Rhinolophus ferrumequinum: one gene and its partner. Each later gene encodes a partner of the first gene's protein in a complex. Links are inferred from orthologs where the notes say so. Each region holds a gene or a part of one and is shown in the gene's direction. Other genes may lie near its edges.

What was found. The genes of interacting proteins can lie anywhere in the genome.
Region 2: POLR2L (region 1) and GTF2H4 share a complex: the UniProt entries of both Homo sapiens proteins name them as parts of the TBP-based Pol II pre-initiation complex. The link is inferred for Rhinolophus ferrumequinum from reciprocal best matches to the Homo sapiens genes POLR2L and GTF2H4.

What each region holds. Positions count from the first base shown.
Region 1 is NC_046294.1:511,312-518,261, reverse strand, and holds POLR2L (DNA-directed RNA polymerases I, II, and III subunit RPABC5), read left to right. Parts: upstream 1-4,942; 5' UTR 4,943-5,089; coding exon 5,090-5,184; intron 5,185-6,108; coding exon 6,109-6,217; 3' UTR 6,218-6,436; downstream 6,437-6,950. UniProt on the Homo sapiens protein: DNA-dependent RNA polymerase catalyzes the transcription of DNA into RNA using the four ribonucleoside triphosphates as substrates.
Region 2 is NC_046286.1:1,466,783-1,474,726, forward strand, and holds the start of GTF2H4 (general transcription factor IIH subunit 4), read left to right. Parts: upstream 1-4,938; 5' UTR 4,939-5,144; intron 5,145-5,782; 5' UTR 5,783-5,785; coding exon 5,786-5,925; intron 5,926-6,195; coding exon 6,196-6,300; intron 6,301-6,642; coding exon 6,643-6,774; intron 6,775-7,001; coding exon 7,002-7,098; intron 7,099-7,187; coding exon 7,188-7,276; intron 7,277-7,490; coding exon 7,491-7,602; intron 7,603-7,735; coding exon 7,736-7,804; intron 7,805-7,944. UniProt on the Homo sapiens protein: Component of the general transcription and DNA repair factor IIH (TFIIH) core complex, which is involved in general and transcription-coupled nucleotide excision repair (NER) of damaged DNA and, when complexed to CAK, in RNA transcription by RNA polymerase II.

The sequences.
Region 1 (6,950 bases):
GAGTTCTGTGGAGGAAAAGGCAGGATGGAGGCTGCACCTCGTCCCTACCCATCCCATCGGGGCTCCCAGCAACCAGGCAGGCCCCAGGGGGTGACAAGCAGCCCTCCACCTGAGACCAGGTCCCTACGGGGGGAGGAGGAGCAGCCGAGGGGCCCAACAGGGGGACTTCATCCCGACCTCCCGTCACTCGCCTGCTGAGACACCAGGCAGGGAGGCAGGCTCGCACACGCAGACAATGTGCGTGCAGGACACACACGTTCAGATGTGTGGACTGACGGACTCAGAGCACAGTGATGTGTCACCCCAACTGCCCAGGTCCCCTGCTCCCAGCCTCACGCTCTCCCCCAGAGCCAGTGGTGACGACTCATGCAGCCACATCTGCCACCCGTGCTCACAGGGCCTCCCCCACCAGCCACAGACTATGGGGACAGGGCACCCCAGCCATGCTCTCTATACTTCGCCCCTCACACCAGGGACTCCTTGCAGCCTGGCAGCTGGGGCAGGTGGTCTTCCCAGTAGCCCAGGGGCAGGAGGGACTGCAAAGGCTCCAAATGCCACCCTGGCAGGTGCCTACCCCCTCCTGCCCAACCCCTCACGGGCTGCACACTGCCCACCTGTCCACTCATGCCTGGGGTGGACGGGAGTCCACCGTATGGGTCAGTCCCAGCTCGTCCCTGCAAGCAACCTGACACCCACCCCCAACTTCAGTTAGGCGGTATGAACGGCACCCACCCCAGTGGGGAGGGCATGTGCCTGGGTCCAGGCCCTGGGACCCCATCCCCACCCCTCCACAACTGCTGTGCCTGGGGATGAAGTGTCTGTTGAAGGGTTTTAGGCCCCATGAACTATCAAAGGAAATGGGGGACACACCCGTCCCACTTTCTTTGATGAACCCCCCTCCCCAGGGCTAAGGGGCCCAAAGCCCACAGCAACATTCCGGAAGCTAAAAACCATGCAGCACACACCCACCCACGCAGGCCTGAGGCTGGGTCTGCATATCCCCTCAGCCCCAGATCCCGGCATCCCTCCCCGGCAGGCCCTTACGGCTGGCTCCACCAGCACCTACAACCCTCCTGGGCAGGACAAGACCAGGCTGGCTCCTCCCCATGAAGCCTCCATGCCGCACTTTGGCCCTCCTTTGAGGGCAGAGACTGACAGGTCTGTGTCCCCAGTACAGCTCACACAGCAGGCAACAGCGACAGGGCTGAGTGACAGCCCCAAGACAAATACCACAGCCTGCCAGCCCGGGGCTGGGTCTTTGGGGTTGTGTGAGCCACAGGCCATGGGCACCTACCTGACCACACCAAGGCCCTCTCCAAAAAGGACCTGCCCAAATGCTGAAACAGAGCGTGTGGCGTTGGACTTAGAGGCTGGGGTGGACAAATGGGCGGTTGCCAGTGGCCCACCCTGACCCCAGCAATGGAGCAGCAGCAGGGGTCTGGCCTGAGCACACACCCCAGCAGGGGCAGCTCAGGGTGGAGCATAGATCGCAGATCGGAGCCGCCCACCCCGGCCCCCTGGCGGAGCTGGCTCTGAGGCAGCTTTGAGGAGCCCAGGAGGGCCTGGCCAACACAAACAGGCCTGTGGTGTGGGCCTTCCTGCCACTGCTTCAGCCCCGCCGGGCCCCAGTGCCCACCCAGGTCTGGGGGAGGAGAACACAGACACCCAGGCTGGGCAGGCTGGCATCCCTTCACACTCAGAGCCCAGGCAGGGTCATCTCCCCAGCCCAACCGGGAGCGTCCGGCTGGGAGACACCCGCTCCACGGGAGGGATCCCCGTGGAAGAAGCCACCAAGGGCCCCCTCTCTCCTCCTGGGCCCACCTAGGCCAACCCAAGCTCAGGCCCTCCCTCCCCTGCCCACCCCCCCCCCCCCCCCGTCCCGGCTCCTCCCCCCACCTCAGGTATTTCTCTGCTGAAGGCCATGTAGAGGTAAAGGCCAAGGGGACACAATTAGGATTGGGGGCTGGGGGATACCTTCCCAGCCACCACAGGCCCTGGGAGCACGCTACCTCACATGGCCAGTGTGTGCCTGCCCCACCTCGACAGACACCCCCACCCCGCCCTATGCCACCAGACGGACACCGCAGAGCAGTGCCCTCCCTCAGGAAGCCCACATCAGCCCCAGGTGTGTTCAGAGGCTCATTAGGTTAGAGTCAGTTCGGGCTCAGCACGCCTGCAAACATCACCACTAAGGACTCCCCAGCCCCAAGGGCCGAGAGGGTTAGCATGGGTGCAGCAGGTAGGTGACCCGTCTGACCCTGGGGAGGCATCCGAGCATGTATGTTCAAGGATCCCATGCCACCCTGTACACCCCATGTAAGCACACATGTACCCAAAGCAAGCGGCCAGGGCCTGAGTCCGGAACCCCACACCTGCACAGATAGATCCGGACCCTCCAGCTTGGCAGCTTCTCGTTCCATCCACGCTTTACAGATGGGGAAACTGAGGCTGTGATCCAGGACCAGGGGTTGGGGCCTGTGGCCGGCCTGTTTCCAGGACAACCTTCAGAGCCGGAAGCTCAGCAGCTAAAACTTCAGTCGCTGATTTCCCCTTGTCCCTGGCCTGCCCTCAAGTGACCCTTTCTGGCAGGAAATGTGGCTCACGGGTTCCAAACCACATGTGAGCACAGCCCTCCCTCCTCGTGCTTCCCATCACTGGAGGCAGGACACTCATTCTCGGAAAACCTGTGCCTCACTCTCCGGCCCTCCCCAGAGGCCTGGGCCACATCTGTGCTGACACTCCACACCGAGGGGAGAAGCCAGGGCCCCCACCTACCCCAGCAGGCACGCAGAGCCCCTCCTCCACCAGTGCCCTGGGCCCCCACAGCTCCCTCCTGCCCCTGGCCCCCCCGGCCCTCACCTCAACGTGCAACCCCAACACACACAGACACACATGCAGGGACACAGCCTGTCCGGGCCATGGTTGGGGGGTAGAGCTGACCTCTGAGGTTCCCCTGGGGTCCTCTGGTCCAGCCTGGGCAGGGCTGAGCCAGGCAGAGTTGAGCAGGCAGAACTAAGTGCCCCAAGGGGCCTCCACCCACGCACACGTGTGCTGGGGCAGCGCACACAGGCTGGGCCGGGGCAGCCACTCTGCTCCCCATGGCCTCTCCTGGGAAATCAGGGAGCTGGAGGGAGGAGCTTGGGAAGAGGAGCCAGCGGCCCCCAAATCTACACACAGCTCTCAGAATTCCAGGAATGTCAACTTGGCTCTGGACCGGATCAGGGAGGGAGGCTCGCTGCTCCCCTTACTCTCTCTGCGTAAACAACTGCTCAGGGCAGGAGCTCCAGTGGGACAGGCCCTGGGCCCCTCCTCCAGGAAGCCTTCTGCCCCCACCCACTCCAGCTCCTGAAGGTCCACCCAGCTGACATCCCGATGCCCTCCCGGTCTCCCTCACCTCCACAGCCTCGGGCAGCCTCTGCAGCTGAGCCTGGGTCTGACCCCAGGCCACTGTGACTCAAGGCCCCTATCCTGCCCCTCCAGGCCAGGGACAGGATGTGCGTCCAGTCAGTGTGTATGTGGGGGGGTGTCAGGGAAGGGAAGTGGCTTTGGCTCGTGGCTCTGCACGTGGCAGGGTGGGGGATGGCAAAGAGCACTGGGGAGGCTGTCCAGGGCCCCGGAGAAAGTGGAGGCACAAACTCCAGGCGGGCACCAGTGCCGGCAGCTCCACCCAGGACCCAGGACCCTCCATCTCCCTGCCCCCCAACTAAGGCCTGAGGGGGCAGTTAGCTGACTCCTGGGACCCAACCAGAGATCCAGCGAACCTGCCCCAGAGGCTGCACACACATTAAGTCACAGGTGCCACTTTGCAACACATCCACCCCCTAGAGCCCAAAGCTCACCACCCACACACAGGGAGCCCTCGGGCTTCTCACTGCACACTGCCCGCCCTGCCCAGCCCCCATCTTGGGGCTCAGCCCACCCCATTTCCCGACACACAGCCTCCCTTCCCCTCAATCCTCCGTGGCTCCTGCCCCACCACCTACTCTGGCCCTAGCGCACACCTGTCTGGGACTACCCTGCAGGTACCGACTCCAGACCTCTGCCCAAGGGTTCCTTTTGCCAGGGTCTGCCCTGCTCCTTCACACGCACTCAGGCTCACGCCTGGTGAAATCCTGTACTTTTCAAGGTTCAGCTCAACAGGCGCCTCTTCCACGACGCTCTCCCTGACCACACTCCGGTCCTCAGATCGCGGGGACCCAGCAGAGCTTGGACTGGGGCGGCTGCAGACCCTTCCCGCCCCCCATCCCCTTCCCCGGGAAGAAAGGAGGAGGGACGCGGACCAAAGCAGATCGATGCGGCGCTGTCTGAGCTCACCACCCGGCCGATCGCTCCTAGCGTGCCCTCCCACCGTCGGAACTACAGGTAACTGTTACCTGGCCGGGACCGATATAGCACGGGCGAGCGGGCCTGGAGACGCCCCGAGGGCACTCCCGAACTCAGCCGCAGAGATTCCCGGGCATCCGCGGGCAAGGATTCCGGGCGACAGACCCCTTTCCCGGCCCGTCCAGGAGAGGCAGCGGGAAGACCCGCCCGTGGCCGCCGGCCAGCCTCTCTCTGCCCCCGCTGCGGGGTCGCCGCGCCCGGGCCCCGCCACTTGTTGCTGCGGCTCGACTCGGGGCTCCGCGCTCCGGGCTGGAACTCCGCTCCCGCTCGCTCGTGCCGGGGCGGGTGTCTGATCCCGGCTCTGGCGCGGCGGGCGGCGGGACCCCGACCAGCGGACGCTGTACCTGCGCGCGCAATCCACCCGCCGCGTAGCTGTCAGTCATGCGGACACGAGAAACGCGAACTGCGCCGCCGAGCCCTTACGGCCTCGCTCGGCCACCATAGGCCGGGATGTACCAAAGGGGCGCAGAGGGGACGCCGCCTGCTCCTGCCGCAGCCACGAGGGTTCCGAGACCCCCGATACGCGCGAGGAAGATCGTCGCGACAGGAAGCGGATGCCGACGGCGCGGGGGCTGGGGAGGTGGACTGGGGGCGGCTGGAGACGGGTCCCGTCTCCCCCGCACCATGGACGCGCCCGGGGCGGGGTCGGCTCTCGGGCAGAAGCGCCGCCGGAACCGAAGAGCGCGGTCGTTGTCCCACTGCCGCCATGATCATCCCCGTGCGCTGCTTCACCTGCGGCAAGATCGTCGGCAACAAGTGGGAGGCCTACCTGGGGCTGCTGCAGGCCGAGTACACCGAGGGGTGAGGCGCCGGGCCCGGCGGGGGAGGGCCGCCAGCGCGGTGGGAAGCGTCCCTGGGCCGCCCTGCGAGACGGGCGGGGAGGGCCGGGGGTAACGGGGTCCCGGCCTGCGGGGCGGGCGGTGCCACGCGCATCCGATTACAGGTGACCCTGGAGGGGCTTTCAGTTCCAGAGTCTCTTCCAGCCCTGCTCTCCAGGGGGCTTCTCGGTGTCCTTGTGGCCGGCCGCGGTGCCCCTCCACTGCGGTTAAGCCGTCACCCTGCTCCCTGCCCACCTGCTATTAGATCCACCGCATGTCCCACAAGCCCACTTGTCTTTTAGGCTCAGGGCAGCTTCCTGGCCACATAGCTGTCATTTTGAGGCTGTGGCAGGTCCCTTTTCTGTGCTTGTCCCTTAGCACTGCAGTTACCACCACGGCTAGCTGAGTCTGCTCCCCAGTAGAGTCTCACCCTTGGCCACTGTGTGGACAGCCCATGTCCTGTCACACTTGAACCCCTGGGACCCGGGACGTGCCAACATGCCATCGACTCTCAGGGCAGGTGTGGGGGTGATGATGGGCTGTTGGCACCAGACCCTGCAAAGGCTGCTGGGGTGACCAGAGTGCGTGAGTGGCTGGTAGCCTGCCCACGACCCTCCGTGCAGCACCATGGGCAGGGACCTTCCAGCCTGGCCTCCCCATTGCCAAGCTGCCATCTCTGCACACTGGGGCCAATGGTGTGGGAATTTTCTGGAGGCCTCGAGGGTGACTAATCTTGGTCCCAGGGAATTGGGGACTCTAATTTGCGTCAGAAATGGCTCCCTGGAGAGATGCCTCCCTTCCCAATGTGGAAGCAGGGCTGAGGAAAGATCCCACAGCAGCTGAGTGAGGCTTCCATCTGCCTGGGCTTTTGGGGACCGACAGATCACAGCCTGTCTTCTGCCTGCAGGGATGCTCTGGACGCGCTGGGCCTGAAGCGCTACTGCTGTCGCCGCATGCTGCTGGCCCACGTGGACCTCATAGAGAAGCTGCTCAACTATGTACCCCTGGAGAAGTGAGTGAGCACCCAGCATGCTGCTGGCCCACGTGGACTTGATAGAGAAGCTGCTCAACTATGTACCCCTGCAGAAGCCCGGGAGCACCCAGCAGTCTGTCCTGCCCAGAGCCCCTCCCACTGAAGCGTGGGTAGCCAGGAGCAATGTCTGCTCACAGCTGTGTGGGCGTTGGTCTCCTGCTCTGGCAGGAGCCATCCAGTAAAGGTCTTTGCAGAACCACAAGAAGGTCCTGACAGTTGGTCTGGCTTTGTGCGACTCCCTGCCACTGTGTACCTGTGTCCTGCCTCATGCCTGAGGCCACTTACTGCCCAGGAAAAGGGATAGCCATCCCCATGGCAACTGCTCAGCCTGGGGTGTCTCCCTCTGGAGGGGGTGCTCTCAGGCCACCAAGAGCACTAGGGCACTGGCATCTCCACCCATGTGTTCTGTGTACTCTAGGTCAGCACAGCACAGAGGTCCCCACATCCTCTCTTCCCAGGATCTAAAGAACCAGATTTTCTGGGCCCTGAATAGAATGCCTGCTGTGGTCATGGCTGCCCATCCTGAGCGTCCTGCTGCCAGAAGCTTCCAGGCTCCACCCAAGCCCAGTAGACCCCTCGGCCAAGTTCCTGCAGGAGGCGGGGCAGCACTCAGGCTCCCCACCCAGCCCGGAGACCCTACAGTAGCTCTGCGGGTTGTCAGGGCTGGCTGAGCTCCCAGTGCCGTGGGCATCAGCATTCAACCCTGCGGGCCAGCC
Region 2 (7,944 bases), on another chromosome or scaffold:
CCTCCTCAGGGAGGGTTTCGGGGAAGCCAGTGGCACAAAGAAGAGGAGCTAATGGCACCTCCACTCTCCCCCTAACTGCCCTTCACCTCTGAGAGAGGCGCAGTGTGACCGAAGGTGGGCTGGGCCTGCCAGGAAGCTGATGACCTCCCTTCCTCCTGCCCCCCCTTCCTGCTCCTCTTCTAGAAGCTTCTGCCACCCACCCAGCTGGCCCTGTGGATGGGACCGTCTCGGACCTCTTCTAGCCATCCCTTGGGGAGGGTGGGGGCAAATACAGGGCAGACACTGGACATGGCCCCCTGGAGCACCTGGGCCCCCTTGGACAACACTGGTTCCTGGAGGGAAGGCTGTGCCCCGCAGCCTCTCTCTTTCTGGCACACACTGGACCCCACTGGCTGAGATTTTGTGGAGTGAGGAGGACAAAAACGGGAGAAAGATGTTCCCTTGTGCCTACTCCTGGAATTGTCCTCAGCTTTGGCTTTTCCCCCTCCATCCTCTGAAACACTGGACCTGGGCTTGATTCCTGCCCCCAAACCCCACCTCCCATCTGCCATGTTGTAGCTAGAACTTCTCTAAGCCTGTATGTTTCTGTGGAATAAATACTGGGATTAGGGGGAAAGAGGGAGCAAAGGCCTAGGGCCCGGGGGTTGGATATCTCTATCATAGCTGCCACATTGGTTTTTCTATAATCACTTGGGTTTGTACATTTTTGGGGGGAGAGAGACAGATTTTTACACTAATATATGGATCTAGCTCAATGCAATTTTAATCCCCTGCACTAGGCAGGTAATAATAAAGGTTGAGTTTTCCACAGCTGTGAGTAGGTTTCTTGGGGTTTTGGTAAAATCTGCCTCCTGCCCCTCCCTTCCCCCATCCCATTTTCTTCTCTTTTTCCTCCTCCCCGTTCCATTTCCTACCACGTATTTTGCCCAACATAGTGTTCTGTGTCTCCATAAGCCAGGTCCTTGCTTGTGGGACCTGAGGTCCCACATGAATGTATGAACCTTGTCAACTCCAACACAAGCTCTGCAGGAGGCTGGGAGGGAGGTGGAGTAAGCCTCCAGTCTTAACCTCGTTTGACCCACTGACCCCTGTGGCAGCCTGGCGAGATCTGATTCCACCTCAGAATTATGTTTTAAAACCCATTAAAAGGAGGGTGTGTATGTATAGATACATGATTATAGAGGAAGTCAACTGAAAGAGTTTACAAAAATGTTAAAAAATTATATATTAACGTGGTTCTTTTAAATATATTTAATAACAAGATCTAGCAACAACTACTGACATTTCCAAATAGTATAACGATAAATGACATTCTGAGATTTCTACAACTACAGTGAGATATGAAAATAGCTGCGATGTCTATTAATGTAAGTCACACGCTAACACTACTGAGGGTTTTGCTCATATTCATACTTGGAGGGAATGCTAAATTTCAGTTAGAAATTTAGAGGTTCATAAAAATAGATGTGTCGTTTTTTTCCTAGCCCACATTCTAGGACACACGCCCCCCCCCCCCCCCACACACACACGAGTCTGGAAGTCCCCAGTGGAGAATCCCTGGATTACGCTGATCAAGTGTGTAAATCACCCAATGGGTGTGAGCTGTCTCGCTGGGAGCCAGAAGCAAGAGCCTAAATGATCTCAGGCTTGGAAGGATGAGCTACAACCACCAAAAAAACATTTAACAAAGTTAGAAAGAAAAAGAAAAATCAGTTGCAAATATTAGGAAAGACATGATGGTAGTCCATGTGAAACAAAGGTCATGGTTGATAGTCACAAAATGAGCCAACTGGATAATGAGGATAAAAATAAAGACAATTTAATCTTATGTTGAATTATAGGCCGTTGGGGTCCAGGACACAGATCTGAGTTCTGCTGAAACCTACGCTGGCCAGGTCACTGTGACCCATGATTTAAGACGGGCACTGACAGGTCAAGAGTTTCGAAGCCAGAATGCATAATGGTGAGCAATGGAAGCCGTGCAGTGAGCGGAGAACTCCCGAATCTCTAGCTCAGAACTCTCTATGAAGCTCTAAAGCTGTGCAACCACCTAGAGGTCCACCGAGAAGTGCAGATCTGTCAGTCTCAGCGTGTCCAAGCTGGCCCCTCCCATGTCATCTCCTGCCTCACTGAATGGCAGCACTATCCACTCAGTTGCACAAGCCAGAAACCTGGGGATCATCCTCGACACCCTTTTCCCTACTCTCCCCTCACAAATCCAGTCTATCACGTAGCTCTGTCGATTTCGCTTCCCCACTTTCCCTTCAATCCCTCATTTCTTCCCATCTCCATCTTGCCTGGTCTCTCCTAGCATCTGTTTCCGCTCCTCTCCAGTTTGCTCCAGTTTGGTCCTTGCAGCCAGTGACCTTGAAAACACAGAAATCCGACCTCATTCCGTTATTTCAAACCCTTGAATGGCTACCCATTGACATCAGAATAAGAACAAAATCTTCTTGGCCAACTTTAGCGCCCCCACCCCATCTTCAGGGTGGGTCCTTCCCACCCTCTCTTTGCACCACTGGCCTTTCAGTCCTGCCTGCCACAAGGACTTCATAGCATGCTGTCCCCATCTGGAACACAATTCCCTGCTGTCTTTGCTTTGATAACTCCTGCTTGTCCTTCAGCAGCCTTCCCTAACTTGCCAACCAGGTCAGATCTCCTCTTGAGGCTTTCAGAGAACGGGACTCGCTTCTTTATAGCACTTACTACGGGGGTGCCATTTTACATTTTTTTTTGTTAAGAAAATGTTTATTGAGCATCTACTATGTGCCAGGTGCCATGCTTATTACATATCATATCTTATTTAATATCACAACATAGGAAGTAGCTAAAACTATTGCCATTTCACAGAGAAGAAAACTGTTAGGTTAAGCCACTTGCCCAAGGCAGCACAATGGTAAAGGGTGAAGCTGGTGGGAAGCAGCCCACGACTCCTGGATCTCTGTTCTCTCTCCAGGATGCTGCCTGAGGGGAGGAGGTCATGAACTCTACATCACAGGAAGTTTTCTCAGCACAAGCTGGATAGCCTTATTATGTCAGGGGGCTCTTTCTGCATTTCAGCTCCCAGGAGACCACGCTGATTTTCTTCTTGAAGGCCAGTTCCAGGAACTCAGTCTGCTTGGTTCCTGCCATCAGACACCTGCCCTCATCCACTGCATCCCTCCAAGCAGGGGTCAGAGCTCCTTGATGAGGGAAAGGTCTATATCTGCACCATCCAATCAGTAGCGACTACTGAGTACTTGAAATGGGGCTAATGTTGACTGAGGAACTGAATTTAAATTTTGTTTGAGTTAATTTAAATGTAAATAGCTACAGGTGGCTAGGCTCCTATTCTGGACAGTGTAGCCCGAGTTTTCCCCACATTGTAGAGAACTGTGACCTGATCTACCCAGCTTCCTTTGCTTGCTCCCATCAAAATGACCTCTCTGAGTTTTACACACACATGAAAGCTTCTTACAAATATGGCATTGGATTGTGTACGCCATTTTGTAATCTGCGTTTCTTCCCCTCATGACAGGTCGTATGCAGTTGTCAGTATGCATAGTGACCTCCTCTCTAAGTGTTCTCCAGTATTCTACATGTAACGATCCACATTTCATCTAACCAACTCCTAATAATGGACACTTAGGCTGTTTCCATTGTTTTCATAATGCAACAACAGATACACTCCAATAAACATCTTTGCACCCAGGTGGGAGAATTTCAGTATGATGCATTCCTAAAAGTATAGCCACATTAAAATCCTTGGTATATACAGCCAAATTGCCCTTAAGAAAGCATGCTTCCATTAACCTTCAACAAAAGTATATGAGTATCCTCATAGTCTCATATACATCGAGGTAGTCAATCCTTAATCGTTTTTTAATTGGATATGTTATTGTTTCTTTAATTTGCTTTTCCTAAATTACTAGTGAAGTTGAGAGTTTTCATTTGAAGTCATTTGTATTTCTTCTGTTTATCGCCTATTTTCTATTTTGTCAATCTTTCCATTGTGATGTTACTTTTTCTTATTGCTTTGTAAGAGTTCTTTGTATTTTGTCCATTTTATCAAATACTTCTTTCCAGAATCTAATTTTAACTGTACTTAACACAAAGAAGCTTTCTCAGTTTTGTGGCATTCTTTGAGGATTTTAAACATTGATTGCTAAAGAAACGGAACAATGAAACAAACATGGGTGGGCTACAACGCACGGCAAAGTCTTACACAGACAGTCCTTATTACCATTTTAGTCCCTCGTCCCTGGCAAATGTACTTAATATTCCTGCCTCGGTACTTTCTAGTCCAATCGCGGGCAAATTTTCTCTCACTAGACTTTGGTCTTCCGGTCTGTAAAATGCGAATAATAAAACTTGCCTCATGAGAACTTAGGAAGCCTGTAGCTCCGGCCTTGGCTAAAGACGTTCCCTTCCCTTTCGCTGCAATAGGTTCATAAATCAAATCAAAGCGTACAATTTTTAAAATTGTATTTACTAGTATCTTTTAACTAAACGGGAGGCGGGAGCATGGTGGACGTGGCAACTAGATCCAGTTAACTCCTAACTCGCGAAAACGCTCTGTAGAGCGCTTTAAGCCAATTTCACCTGGATCAGCTGAGCTCAAGGAACCCAGTTTCGTGCGTGTCTAAAACTAAGCGCCTTACCATCCAGCCGTCTCCACACCTCCGCCAGTAGGTCCTCGGGGTACTTCTTCTCCCAGGGTCCCGCCTCCCGTACCGGTCGGTTAGACATGCCGTTGGAGGCGTGCGTGGAGAGAGACGCGGAACCAAGTGACCCGGCCTCCGGTGTCCTGAGCTCTCTCAATGAAAGGCCAGGCTCTTTCCTCGCTGTTTCCCCGCGGTGCCTTTCGGGAGCTGTAGTCAGACGCGCTTCAGCCGGCTCTGGGGTGAGGAAGGACAAAACTCCAATTCCCAGTGTGCTCCGCGCCGGGCGAGTGCAGCGCCCATTCTTATCCTACCCACTTTTTCTTTCCTCTTCTGAATCCCCTGCTCCGAACTCCTGTCTGTGAAATCCTTCGTCGCTCTCCCCATCTTTTTCTCTCATTTTCACCATACTTTTCCCTATTTCCCAGAGCCAGTGCAAGGCCCTGGTTCCGATTAAGCGACTGCTTGAGACTCGGGTGCACGAGGGGGAACTGACCCAGAGTGGTAAGGGGGCCGGGAGAGAGCGGGTGGCGGAGTGTACGAGTTGAGTAAGAGGCGAGGAATGGGAGGAAAGTAGCGAAGTTAGGAGGTCGAACGGTATGGATCAGGTTGAATGGGGTGAAGTGGTCTTTGGAGGGAGGAGGGAAAAGGAGAGGAAAGAGGTGGAATTAGATTCGGGAGACATGGAGGGGAAAGGTAGTTTATTGCCGTACCCAGCAGAAGTGGGATCAAGAAATAGATGGGAAGGTCTGACAGATGTAGAGCTTATAAGTAGATCCGACCAGGAGAGGTGGTAGGGAGAGAGGATTGGGCTCAAACAAGTCTCTTTGTCACTGCTTAGTAAAGATGAGCAATCACTGGCACACAAAATGATTTTGCAAATATGGGACAATGAAAAATTCTGTTACTTGGAAATCAAGTGAAGACTGGAGCTGAGGCCAGAAGTGGGGTGAGAAGGCAGGGAAAGAGGGGAAGTCAGTCAGGTTTGGGAGAAACTAGAGGAGATGAATGACATTCAAAAGGGAACCATAGAAAAGATGGGTTATTGTGGGGGCCAGTGGATCTGGGATCGGAATGAGAAAGGTGAGGGGTGACACTGGCATGGATTGAGGGATTGCGTTTCTAACGCTTGCATCTTTCAGGTGATGGAGAGCATCCCGTCAAGGGGTGGGCTGAACCGAGTACACCTACAATGCAGGAATCTGCAGGAATTTCTAGGGGGTCTGAGCCCTGGGGTATTGGACCGATTATATGGGCACCCTGCCACCTGTCTGGCTGTCTTCAGGTGAGGGTGCCCTTCACAGCAGGGACCATGGTGGGGAAATGTAATGGGGCCTGCAGACTGGGATAAGTTATCATGGATAGAAGCTTCGTTCTACAGGGCGTAAAGATTAAAGTGTGTCAGGCCAAAACAGATGGTGTTTGTTGGGGCAGCAAGACTGGTAAAGGGGTGGAGGGTGAGATGAGATGTTTGAGAGGCTAAGACACAGGTTGAGGGCAGAGATGCAGATCTAAGGCAGTTGCTGACAGTAACATTTTTCCTCTCCCCCTGCAGGGAGCTCCCACCTCTGGCTAAGAACTGGGTGATGCGCATGCTCTTTCTGGAGCAGCCTCTGCCACAAGCTGCTGTAGCCCTGTGGGTAAAGAAGGAATTCAGCAAGTGAGTGCTGTATTCCCAGCCAGATACCAATTTCTCAATGGCTAGATTTCCCCAACTGCTGTTCCTTGGAACATTTTTCAGGAAAGATTAATGGGTACACCATAAGACTTGTAATTAAATAAGTTTGGGAAACTGTATACTGTATTTTCCCTCTTGGAGAGTTGTGAGGTCTATAACAAGGCTCTGGCAGGCGTTACAGTAAAGAAATTTGCCTTAAGACATTGATTTCACTCTGTGAAACAGTAATCCAAGGACTACTAGTTCAAAAGCAGAAATGGAGGCCTTCATGGGCCTTCTTTTTGTTCTCCAGACACACCTGTCACCTCTCTGCTTCTGTTTCAGAGCTCAGGAGGAAAGTACAGGGCTGCTGAGTGGCCTCCGTATCTGGCACACCCAGCTGCTCCCTGGTGGTCTCCAGGGCCTCATCCTCAACCCCATCTTCCGCCAGAACCTGCGCATTGCCCTTCTGGGTGGGTATGTCACTCCATCTCCTCCTAAGCTAGGCCGGGGAACTCCTTAGGGGCCTCTCTGGAACCTTGTGGGCTCCACCTTTGGCAGCTCCTTAGCAATAAGTTGGACCAGATGCATGGTGTAGGGAATGCCTCCCACTCATGGCCCATGGGGACAAAGGTAGAAAGAGGGCAGAGGAGTGGGCAGGGGACACAGGCAGGGCTCCTTACTCTTGGCCCATCCTGGCATAGGGGCAAGGCCTGGTCTGATGACACGAGTCAGCTGGGACCAGACAAGCATGCCCGGGATGTCCCGTCACTTGACAAGTACGCCGAGGAGCGATGGGAGGTGAGAACTTGCGACTCTGTGTGTGTCTCTGCTTATGCTCCTGCTTCCCATGGACCCCAGAGGCATCTCTATTCTCCTCCATTCCTCAGGTGGTCCTGCACTTCATGGTGGGCTCCCCCAGTGCAGCTGTCAGCCAGGACTTGGCTCAGCTCCTCAGCCAGGCTGGGCTCATGAAGAGGTGAGGAAGCCCGAGGCACAACAGCTCCCGGCTTTGCCATCTCCTTGGGTCGCTGCCAAACTGAGTGTCCAGGCGGGTCAGGATTGGAGGGCGTTGAAGAAGGACAGCTGAGTGGAGTACAGCGAGAGATAAACCAAGAGCAGACGTGAGCGGTCGGTGGGGCTGGTGGCCATTCTGTGCACACCTGTCCCATTGTCCCTCTCCACGTGTCTAGTACCGAGCCCGGAGAGCCTCCCTGCATTACCTCTGCTGGCTTCCAGTTCCTGCTGCTGGACACCCCTGCCCAGCTCTGGTACTTTATGTTGCAGTATCTACAGACAGCCCAGGTGAGGAGTGCAGCGTCTGCTTGTGGGTGTGCTCTGCTCTTCTCAGGACACACCGAGAGATTACTGCCTACAGACTGCTCCCTGATTTTCTCCCTCCCATCCCGTCCCCTTGTCTGTGCCCATTCCTCCCTAGAGTCGGGGCATGGACCTAGTGGAGATCCTCTCCTTCCTCTTCCAGCTCAGCTTCTCTACTCTAGGCAAGGTAAGCAGGGGCTGGAGCTGGGGGGTCGGGTGGGTGGGCCGAAGGGGAGCGAGATGGGGAGGGCAATGGGGCTATGGGGCAATAGAGTGAAGTAAGAAGGAACAGCCAGAGGTGGGAAGACGGAACGAGCTTGTGGTTTG